Linked DNA regions of Ovis aries. The protein of the gene in region 1 purifies or fractionates together with the protein of each later gene. This does not show direct contact. Links are inferred from orthologs where the notes say so. Each region holds a gene or a part of one and is shown on either strand. Other genes may lie near its edges.

Region 1 (4,056 bases):
CTTCCCTGCCTGGGTCTCCTCAGGGTCAGAGGCTGGGGGAGGAGGGGGAGCAGACGTGGTTACAGTGAAGGGATTGGTTAAGGGGGAATGAAGGGCTTCTAAGTCGGGGTAGAGAGGGGCAACAAGACCTCCAACCTAGTTATATGGGGTGGGGGTATCAAAAGGGAGTAGATGGAGGGAGGGAAAGGAAGAAAAGCAGATCTTATTAGAGTGGAGAGTGCTGGGAGGAGAGGTGGTTGGTGAAGGACAAAGAGGCTGGGACATGGAGGCTTAGGAAAGCGAAAAGAAAGTAAAGCATATAAGGGCATGAAGGAAGACTTAGGAGGAGTTAGGAAGGACACAGTAGTGTGTGAGTGTGTGCTGGGAGGGTTAGGTTTACAAGCAGAAGAAAATGTAGAAAGAAAGAGAAGATAAGGGATACTGGGGCTGGAGGCAAGTTTGCAAGAAGAGGTGGTGGGGGCGGAACGGAAGGGCGAGATGGCAGGTTTACAAGAGGAAGGAAGAGATAGGAGGGGACACCAGGGGTCCCCAGCACCCTACAGTTCCCACTAACAACCAGGTACCCTTAGCAACCCGGACAGCGGTATTCTAAGTCCCTAGTAACAAGGGTCCTTAGCAACTAAGGTGCGAGACACACGCTATCATTAGTCACTTAGGGGAAGTGGCAAACGGACCCTTAAAACCTCGAGACCCAGAAACCCACCAATCTATCCAGCAATATATATCACAACGGCTCCCTGAACCTCATTCCCCTCCATGCAGCCCCCATCTCCTGCCCCACCACTCCCGCCCTCGGGCCCCGGGGCCTGCAGCCCTCAGCCAGGCCCCGGCGCGGCCCGACCCTCCCACCAGGGCCCCCGACTCACGATCCGGATCGGCCATGGGCGCGGGGCGGGGGCCCTCGGGACTGTCACCGACTGCTCTATCCCGTGACGGCACCGGAAACAGGAGGGGGGCAGAGATAGGTCAAAGAACTACAACTCCCAGGAGGCATAGAAAAACGTCCGGAGCGTGCCCCTCTGAGGTAAGAAGAGACACGCGAGAGCCGGACTACGAATCCCAGAGTGCCTCGCGTCCGCAGCCATGTTGGTAAAGGGCGCGCGGAATGAGTGGGAAAGGGTAGAGAGTCGCAGTCCATCTGAATACTCTGATTGGTCACGGTGTAGTATGAGGGCGGGGCGCTTACTATTTAGCCGACTCTGATTGGATGAGTCCGGGGGGAGTGTTGGGGAATTCCCAGCAGGGCGGAAGCGCCAGAATTCCAGGCAGAGCCCAGCGACTGGCGGGCAGCCGCTGGGGTCCCCTGAGGCTTTGGGGGCTATGGCCGGGGTCGCGTGTTTGGGGAAAGCTGCGGACGCCGATGAATGGTGCGACAGCGGCCTGGGCTCTCTGGGTCCGGACGCGGCGGCCCCTGGAGGACCTGGGCTAGGCGCGGAGCTGGGCCCGGGGCTGTCGTGGGCGCCCCTCGTTTTCGGCTACGTCACTGAGGATGGCGACACGTGAGTGAACCTTAGCCTGCCACACCGAGCCTTAGGATGATCCCACATCTGATTCCCTGTTAGTCCCTGATACTGATTTTCCAACCTCTTAATCCTAAATCTGTCTTCTAATGCTTACTCTGACCTCTAACCCCCGAGTCTAACCCTTGATAAAATCAATTTCCAAGCTAGTTTTTATCATAACCCCGTCCTTTCTGAAACTTTGGCCCTCAGAGTTTCATATCCATTGACTAATTCCACATTCAAAACTCAATTTGAGCTTCCTGACCCCAGTCCTGAGACCTATCTTAAAACTATAGCTCACAGGCTCCTTCTGACATCTCACCTCCAAATATGATCTTTGATCCTTAGCTCCTAATTTAGGAGCTTTAAATTTTGATTTCCAAAATTAACATTTGGCTTTTGACTCTAAGATCTCCCACTTTCTGAGCACTGATCTTCAAATCCTACATTGAAAGAGAAAATGTAAACTCTATGACAGCAAGGATTCATCTGTTAAACAAGTATTTATCTAGCACCTACAGCGTTTCAGGCCCAGTTGTAGATGCTGGTGATAAAGCAGTGAAGAAAGCACAACAACTTATGCCTTGTGGAGCTTACGTTCTAGTGTGGGGGGTCTATAAATGGAAGGGCAGACAGACTGACAGGAAGGAAGAAAGGAACAGTAGGAGAAACAAAAAAGAAAGAGAGAAGGAAAGAAAGAAACAGAGAGCCGTATAGACACAAAGTAAGAAAGAGAGAGGAGAGAGAGAAGAAACAGGCAGAAAAACGAACGAAAGAAAAATGGTGTGTCAGAAGACAGGAATTTCCTTGGTGAAAAATAAAGCAGGAAAGAATGAGACAAGTAGATTATCTGGGGAGAGTATTCCAGGTAGAAGGAACGACGTCATAAAGACCTAATTGAGGGAATGTACCCGGGGTTTTTGTGTGTTGTGTTTACTGCCGTAGCCCCAGTGACAGAACGGTGTTTGACCCATAGGAGGCGCTCAAGAAACACCGGTCTTCCCAGAGAACCAGCTGTGCTTTCATTTATTTTCTCTCGTCTCTTTTTTTGCTTTCTGTTGTGTTTATCTCTGTTTTGACTTTCGTTATTTACTTTCTTCTGCTTACTTTGAGTTTATTTTTGTTCTTTTTCTAGTTTCTTAAGGTGAAAGCTGAGGTCATTGATTTGAGGCCTTCCTATTTTTCTAATATAGGATTCATGTGAATTTCCCGAAGTAGTGCGTGAGCTGTATCTCATCACTTCTAATGTGCTGTGCTTTCATTTCCACTTAATTCAGTATAGTTTCTAATTTCTCCTTTGATTTCTTCTTTGGGCGGTGGATTATTTAGGAGTATGTTATTTAGTTTCCAGATATTCCGAATACCTTCCTTTTATTGGTTTGTAGTTAAATTCTATTGTGTGTGCAGTTGAAAAGAATGTCTGGTATCTTGTTGTTGAGTGTAGTTCTCCAGATGTCAGTTAGAGGTTGTATGGGTTTCTTTTCTAAAACTTTTATTGATTTACTTTTGGCTGTGCTTCGTCTTTCTTGCTGCCCACGGACTTTCTCTAGTTGCGGTGTGAGGGCCTCTCATTTTGGTGGTTTCTCTTGTTGCGGAGCAGTGTCTCTAGGGCACAGGCGCAGTAGTTGCTTCGCGTTGGTTTAGTTTCCCCGAGGCATGTGGGATCTTCCCGGATTAAAGACTGAGCCTGTGTTCCCTACCTTGGCAGGTGGATTCTTTAGCACTAGACCTGTAAGTCCTGTGCTGGTTTCTTTGGTTCTTCTCTTTTCCAAGTCTATTATATCCTTGCTGGTAATTTCTCTCTACTTGATCTATCAGTTACTGAGAGTAAGGTATTGAAATCTTTAATAATAATTGTGGGTTTCCTTGTTGTTTTATCAGGTTTTCCTTCATGAGACTGGATGCTCTGTTATAAGGAGTGCAAATGTTTAGGTTTATTGTGTCCTCTTCCTGAACTGACCTCTTTATCATTGTGAAATAATCTGCACTATCCCAGGTAATATTCCTTGCTCTGAAATCTTACTCTTATTTTAAAACACTCCTACTTACTTTTGACTGACAGGCGTTAGTATGGTATATCTTTTTCCATCTTTTTATTCTTAACTTAGTTTTAAATTTATTTGAAAAGCTGTTACTTGTATAGTTAGGTTTTGCTTTTTAAAAAAAAATGTTTATTTTTAATTTATTTGGCTGCATCGGCTCTAGTTGCAGCATGTGGGATCTTGTTCCCTGACCAGGGATTGAACCCTGGCCCTCTGCATTGGAAGTGCAACGTCTTAACCACTAAACCATCAGGGAAGACCCTAGGTTTTGCTTTTTTATCCACTCTGACAGCTTCTCCTTTTTTAAAATTTGTGTTTATTTAGCTGTTTCTTTTTGGCTGCACTGGGTCTTGGTTGCTGCACACAGGCTTTGTCTAGTTGTGGCGAGCGGGGTATGCTCTCTAGCTGTGCTGTGCAGGCTTCGCATAGTGGTGGTCTCACTTGTTGGGGAGCACGGGCTCTAGAGCACACAGGCAGTTGTGGCACGTGGCGTTAGTTGCCCCACGGCATGT
Region 2 (3,515 bases), on another chromosome or scaffold:
TATTACTGATGGAGAAACTCAAGGCCTGGAAGGAACTCACTTTAGGCTTCACATCTTAGCTCTGTCACACTTACCTTTTCTCTGAAAGATTTGGCTTGACTATCCAGTGTTGATTCACTCTCAACTGATTCATCTACAAAACATAAAACAAAGAAAAAAAGCAAACTGTTAAGTTTGCCTGCTGACAGCTGCTAAGCCGCTTCAGTTGCATCCGACTCTGTGCGACCCCAGAGACGGCAGTCCACCAGGTTCCCCTGTCCCTGGGATTCTCTAGGTAAGAACACTGGAGTGGGTTGCCATTTCCTTCTCCAATGCATGAAAGTGAAAAGTGAAAGTGAAGTCGCTCAGTCGTGTCCAACTCTTAGCAACCCTATGGACTGTAGCTCACCAGGCTCCTCCGTCCATGGGATTTTCCAGGCAACAGTACTGGAGTGGGTTGCCACTGCCTTCTCCATTGCCTGCAGACAGTAAGAGTGTTTAATATTTGGTTAACAGTTAATCTAAGAAAACCAGATTTCTCTACTACAGGACTTCCCAGAGCTTAACATGCATGTGTACTATGAACATTCAATATGAAGCTTCAGTATACAGATAGAGGGTCTGGAGAATAAACTATGGAATCAAGTGAAGGGATCCAAGGAAACATGAGGCCTCCAGGCGAAATGACTTGCCCTAGGCAATGCAGATGAGATTAGAAACTAAGTCCTATGCTCTTTCCAGTATACAGCTTTGCCCTTCTTGTAAAAGGGATGAGGAGGAGGGATCAGGAAGGCCGAGGAGGAGGAGGAGGAGGAGGACACGGGGATCACCTCCCGTTGACAAATACATCAAAAATACATCTATATGCGGAACAGTTCTCGTGGAAAACTAACTGAAAATTGGCAGAAGAAAGATTTCCAGGTAACCAGGTAGTAGGGTTGGGACCCCACCACTGCCCATTCAAAGGGATGTGAAAGGAAAGGAAGGTTTGCATGGGCTCTCCATACCACAGCCTGGCACATGATCTGAGCCAACGAGCCTCTGGATGTAGGGGAGGTACAAATTAGGAGTATGGGATTAAAAATAGATATAAACTGCTGCTGCTACAGCTGCTAAGTTGCTTCAGTCATGTCCGACTCTGTGCAACCCCATAGATGGCAGTCCACCAGGCTCCGTCGTCCCCGGGATTCTCCAGGCAAGAACACTGGAGTGGGTTGCCATTGCCTTCTCCAATGCACGAAAGTGAAAAGTGAAAGTGAAGTCGCTCAGTCGTGTCCAACTCTTCGCAACACCATGGACTGGAGCCTACCAGGCTCCTCCGTCCATGGGATTTTCCAGGCAAGAGTACTGGAGTGGGTTGCCACTGCCTTCTCCGGGATATAAACTACTATACATAAAATAGATAAGTGACATGAATTTACTGTATAGCACAGGGAATTTTACCAAATAGCTTGTAATAAGCTATACTGGAATATCATCTGCCAAAAAAACAATATATATATATCATATGCCATACACCTGAAACTAACAAAATACTAGAAATCAACTATGCTTCAATAAAAAAATTTTTTTTTAAATTTTAAGACCTAAAAGTAGGCATAAACATGAGATATGTATTATTTTACATGAAGCTCTCTGATCTCCCAGAGTATTCATATAAGGGGCAATAATCTAGTGGACAGGAGTATAAGCTTTGAAGTGACCTTGCTTGCATTTAAATCCCAGGTCTCTTACTTATGTTCCTGCCAAAGTCATTTAACTTCTGTTTCAGGTTCATCATTGATTAAAAAGTGAAGTAAGCGATATAATGCATTGAAAGTGCTTACAACAGTGCCCAGAGCATAGTAAGGACCCAATAAATGTGTGTGTGTCTTTTTTATATATGCTGGTTGGAATTAATCAATATTTACAAATGTGTTTAAATAACAAATTAATGAACAATTTTCTTTGTTCATTGGAAGTTAGAAGAGCATTTGACGGATAATTTATATGTTTGAGGAAATTCTTCACCTAGAAGACTATGGACCCCTAGGAAATTCACAGATGACCTTTGGGATGTAAGAGCCCTTTAAAATTATATGCAAAATCTCATATTTTTTGTATATTATGTATGTTTCTCAGAAGTACTTCTGGTTCTTTACAAGAAACGCTGAGACCACTGCTTTGCCAGAACAGAACTAATGCCTCTGAAGGTATCAAGCAGATTCACAATGATCCTAATAATCCTTATCTAATTCCCTCCCCAACCATGGTTCTCAGTATTTAAGATTTAGAAACAGGAGCCCCTTGAGTTTGACCATCTTATCTATCATTTTCAAAGATCCCACTCTAGCCCAATACATTCTAAAATGCCAGAGAAGAGAGGTATTGCAACTTCTCCCAGTGGGTTAGAGAAAAAATAGATCTCTTCCCAAATTACAAAGTGTAGAGACTTTGCATCAACCTTTGTCCAACCTATAAGCAACTTCTACAACCTACCAGAGACTCTGAAACCTCTACCCCAACTAGAACCATTAAGAATTAAGAAAGGCCCTCGATGAAAAAGAGTATCAGAGATGCCCTCCATTACTCTGCTCTGATCATTGCTCAACCTGCTTAAACTAAGATTAGATTTTGATCTTCAATCTGTAAACATTGTAGGGACAGAATCTGTGTCTGTTTTGGTATATTCACAGCCCCTAACTTGCGCCTGGGGCATAGTAGGTCATCAATAAATATTTGTTGAGTAAAAGCACTTTTAAAACTTTGTCAAGTGAAAAAAAAAAAAACCTTTAAAAAAACAGCTACAAAATGTAGTTTACAAGTCAAACTGATGCATCCAGCAAACCTAAAATATTCAGCCTTTCCTTGAGCCTTCATAACTAGAACCTACCTGAAAACAGTGGCTGCATGTTGAACAATTCAGCATCATATACTTCCATCTGGCCAGAGGTCTTATTCAAAATTCCCACAAAGTGCCTAAATAAAAAAGGAATATCAGTGACAATGGATCATTCAAAAGGTATTGTTTATGCAATCTCCTTGTTTCTGCTTAAAAGGCACCACTTACACATGAGTAACAATAATCCCCCACAGCAGATATTCTCTGCAAGCAGAGGGTAATGAAGGGGGAAACAGGAAGGGTAGCAGGGAAGTCACCAGGTGATTCTTATAGCTAATCACATTTGGGGTCACTGGTGTAGTGGTAAAACCTTTTGGGATATAACAATCTAGAACTACACTAGAATTTACTCCATGGGTAAATTCTATGGAGGCAAATACAAAACTTTGGTAATTACGAGAAGACTAGTTTAAACTAGAAAAGCTTTGTAAAGAGATGATAAAAGTTTCAAGCACAAACACATTCATCGGAGTTCTATCAGCTGCTGGGGTGGAGGAAGGGGGAGATGACTCTAAAAGGGCCTTGGTTGTGGTTCATGGATGGATATCTTCATAGGGACACTGCATTATGCAATGCCTGACAGTGAGACTGAACACGCTGAACAATCTTCATTGTACCAAGAAGAAAACCAGAGATCAGTAAATGGCGGAGTTGC
Region 3 (3,515 bases), on another chromosome or scaffold:
CTGAGTTCAGAATGGGCAACACGCTTTGTGAATTCTGAGTTTCTCTCATCTAACTCTGATCTGATTAGGCATACGCTTTTATGTTCAGAACTCTGCTGACCTAGATCTTTAGCGGATAGGCTTTTCAAGATAAATACAGCTCGTGACAAGCAGCCTGTCTTTTAAAAATACCAGGTGCGGGCTTTGGGGAATAAAGACTGAGGAAGACCACTTGCCGCCTCCGAGGCAGCCAACACGCTGGTGGAGCGGGGCTCACCTGCCAGCTGGAGGCCATGTCCAGAGGAGTGGTTCCTGGTACGACCCCTTCATCCTCTCCATCCTCATCCCAGGAGTCATCCAGGTCGTACAGAGGCTCGAAGTTCTCCACCAGGGGATCTGCTCCTGTGGAGCCAAGTCACACAGCATTAGGTAAAACCCACATCTTCTCGGCTCCTCACTTCCCACAGGGGTCAGATTCTATGAATATATAAAATACATTTCCACTAAAATATCCAGAAACCTGCCTTTAAATTCTAATATATCTTGACTGTAAAGGTGACCAATGATAGCTCTGTATAGCCACGGATACTGTCAAAAACACAGACTTGGACTGACGCTCACATTTGACCCCATAGGATAGTTGTGAGCGATGCACCTTTAACCTGAGGACTGAGGACGGTGGTTTATAGGGGCTACCTGGTGGCTCAGGAGACAAGGTTCCAACCCTGGGTCGGGAAGACCCCCTGGAGAAGAAATGGCAGCCAACTCCAGTGTTCTTGCCTGGGAAATCCCACGGACAGAGGAGCCTGGTGGGTTACAGTCCGTGAGGTCACAAAGAGTTGGACATGACTTAGCGACTAAACAACAAGGGCACACCCTTAGGCTTAAGGCCCCATGTGTTCAACTTGATGCCTGGCACCTCGTGTTTCTGTGTCTTCACCTGTTTGCTCAAAAGAGCAAAGCTGCTTTCTGTCTAGTGCCAACCTGTTGTGTTTTATTCCTGGGTTATGGCACTGATCCTTAAATGCAAAGCACCAAGAAGACCTTCTGGTAGGATGTGTAGTTATTGAAAGGTCATAGCTTCTAGTCTGAAGGCATTTTATTATCATAACCAGTGACTCCCCAAACTAACCATAAACACTACAATCACCGTCTCTTGTTCATGGGAATGTTCAGCTTGATGAAGGAGAAAAGAGAAGGCTGCTTATTTGGGATATGATGTCAGAAAAATACGGTGCCAAAGAAAAGGTTCTTATATTTTTCCTAGTCTCAGTTGTGTTTTTTTTAAAGAAGGTATTTAATCTGCTATTTTCTTGAATTGGTGAGGCATTTATTTTCTAAAAACAATAACCTTGTAAGTAAATCAAATATGCCAGGACAGGCTTGAGATACCAATTACAATTAAACATTTTTGAGGTTCTAAATGTAGAAGGCAGTGGAGATTCAAAGATGAGCAGGAATAATTTTCCTTTATCTCACAGGATGAAAGGGTTGAATTGGAATAACACTCTACATCCTTGAGCCAAGCAGGGGAGAGAAACAGAGAGAGAAGAGTCTGGAAGTTCAAGGTGACAAGATGTGACTCAAGCTCTGCCCCTTACTGGGGTCCAGGAACTGGGATGCAAAAGTCTCACCAGTCTGTTTCCTTGGCTATAAAATGGGAATAGTAATGGGATGTGTCTCAAAGGGTCACTGCAGATTAAGTAAGATTAAATGAGACAGTGTGAAATACCTAGCCCAACAGAAGCTAGCAGTTTTTAGGGTTTGGTACATGACAGCACTTGACACACGGCCCATGTGTTTGTCCCTATCATTTTGGCTTCTCAGAGACCTTTCTTACAAATGGAAGTCTTCAAGTGCTTTATTATACCAATAAACGCTTCCTTCTGAGGACCTGTGATGGGACCTTAAGGTTGATACTGCTCCAAATTCTACAAGGAATTCAGTTCAACCTTAGGATCTCCTGTCATGGGACTCAACTTAATCCAAATCCAAAACAGGTGAGTAAAAACTAACATGACCATCAGCATGGCACCCAGGGTTACTAATACAAACAGAGCCTTCATGGCTGCTAAGTGGGATTTGCAGCCACTTTTATTTATTTGTGCCTTTCTGCAGCACGTCCGTAGGTTAAGGAGGCGGCCTGGCTGCTCTAGCAGTCTGGGTTTGCCTTCCTGATGACATTCTCTAGGGCTGACTACCAGGCTGCCTTACCTGCTGCTTTGAGAAGAGCCGCCAGCCTGGTGGACCCTCTCCCGGCTGCTATGTGCAGGGGTGTAGTTCCGTCATAAGTGGTGCTGTCCACGTGGGCATCACCCTAAAATCCGCCCACACAGAAAACGGTTAGCTCAAGGTCCTCTCGCCCTTCTGTCCCCACCTCCCCTGCATGCGTGGCTCTCCAGGTCATGCTACAGGCCCAGCTGTATTCTAGGCAGGCTCTGCCAGTGCAGAGATCCTCAGAGATGCCGGGCAGGGGAATACTGGAGGGCCTGAGCGGCTATTCTGAAGCCTCCAGTAGATACTACACAGGTAGAGCCGACGGTAGGGAGATGAGCTGTTAGCCAAGTTGTTCTTTGAAAAGATTTTCCCAGATACCCTTGGGAATTGAATGAGAAGGCAGGTAAGTGCATCCCTCACCTCCAGGAGCAGGCAGCCAGCCAAGGAGATGTTGTCATGCTCCACAGCCAGGTGTAGGGCCGTGCGCCCCGACTTCCGCTCCTGGGCGTTGACGTCGGCCCCCGCAGCCATCAGCAGCAGCAGACACGGCAAGCTGTTGCTCATCATGGCTACATGTATGGCATTCAGACCTACGGCCCAAGCATAGGGATGGTCACGGGGAGGCAAGGCTGTTGGGGGTCAGCATGGGTCTCTACTCCAGTCTTTATAGGTGCTGTAAGTCAGCTGTCCTGCATGTAAACCCCAGACTCCTTTTGTGTTCTAGAGACAATGAGAGCACATAAACATTCTCTGAATAAAGGATGCTTTCTACATATTGAGGGGGCTTCCCTGGTGGTAAAGAATCTGCCTGCAATGCAGGAGACCCAGGTTTGATCCCTGGGTCAGGAGAAAGGAATGATAACCCACTCCAGTATCTTGCCTAGAGAATGTGTAGCCTGGCGGGCTACAGTCCATGGGATCGCAGATAGTCAGACATGACTGAGCAGCTAATACTTTTTATACATATCCAGAATGGTGTTTGCTCAGGTCTTGCTTTTCCCTCCTACTAACTATTCCAGATCATCTTTAAAGGAATTAGCTGCAGCCAGCAATGGAAATTTCCATGAGAGACGATGAATTCCCAGTGGTTAAGGAAAGCACTTTGGGGTGCAGATCAAATAGGCACATTTATCTGGTAGCTACTTATTGTTTGGAAAGCAGACAGAGGTTACACCACGATGTGTGATTGTCTCTTACCTTCCCCGTTGGGGTGGTCAATAAGTTGTGCTGCCTTCTTGTGCTTGAGTAAAATACCGAGAATTTTATCATGTCCTTCTTTGGCAGCGAGGTGCAAAACAGAGTTACCCAAGCGGTCCAGG

What was found. Proteins that work in one complex are often made in the same cells at the same time.
Region 2: the proteins of NFKBIB (region 1) and POLR1E purify together in Homo sapiens (affinity purification with mass spectrometry; 3 studies listed by BioGRID and IntAct, counting the BioPlex papers as one, with this or other methods). This does not show direct contact. The link is inferred for Ovis aries from reciprocal best matches to the Homo sapiens genes NFKBIB and POLR1E.
Region 3: the proteins of NFKBIB (region 1) and NFKB1 purify together in Homo sapiens (affinity purification with mass spectrometry; 7 studies listed by BioGRID and IntAct, counting the BioPlex papers as one, with this or other methods). This does not show direct contact. The link is inferred for Ovis aries from reciprocal best matches to the Homo sapiens genes NFKBIB and NFKB1.

What each region holds. Positions count from the first base shown.
Region 1 is NC_056067.1:47,982,184-47,986,239, forward strand, and holds the start of NFKBIB (NF-kappa-B inhibitor beta), read left to right. Parts: upstream 1-1,255; 5' UTR 1,256-1,320; coding exon 1,321-1,499; intron 1,500-3,727; exon of another isoform or gene 3,728-3,800; intron 3,801-4,056. Other genes in the region: SIRT2 (NAD-dependent protein deacetylase sirtuin-2), read right to left, coding at 1-32, 867-882. UniProt on the Homo sapiens protein: Inhibits NF-kappa-B by complexing with and trapping it in the cytoplasm.
Region 2 is NC_056055.1:51,256,212-51,259,726, forward strand, and holds part of POLR1E (DNA-directed RNA polymerase I subunit RPA49), read right to left. Parts: intron 2,938-3,515; coding exon 2,852-2,937; intron 134-2,851; coding exon 75-133; intron 1-74. UniProt on the Homo sapiens protein: Component of RNA polymerase I (Pol I), a DNA-dependent RNA polymerase which synthesizes ribosomal RNA precursors using the four ribonucleoside triphosphates as substrates.
Region 3 is NC_056059.1:22,544,759-22,548,273, forward strand, and holds part of NFKB1 (nuclear factor NF-kappa-B p105 subunit), read right to left. Parts: coding exon 3,394-3,515; exon of another isoform or gene 2,787-3,393; coding exon 2,617-2,786; exon of another isoform or gene 2,297-2,616; coding exon 2,194-2,296; exon of another isoform or gene 1,461-2,193; intron 409-1,460; exon of another isoform or gene 382-408; coding exon 257-381; exon of another isoform or gene 175-256; intron 1-174.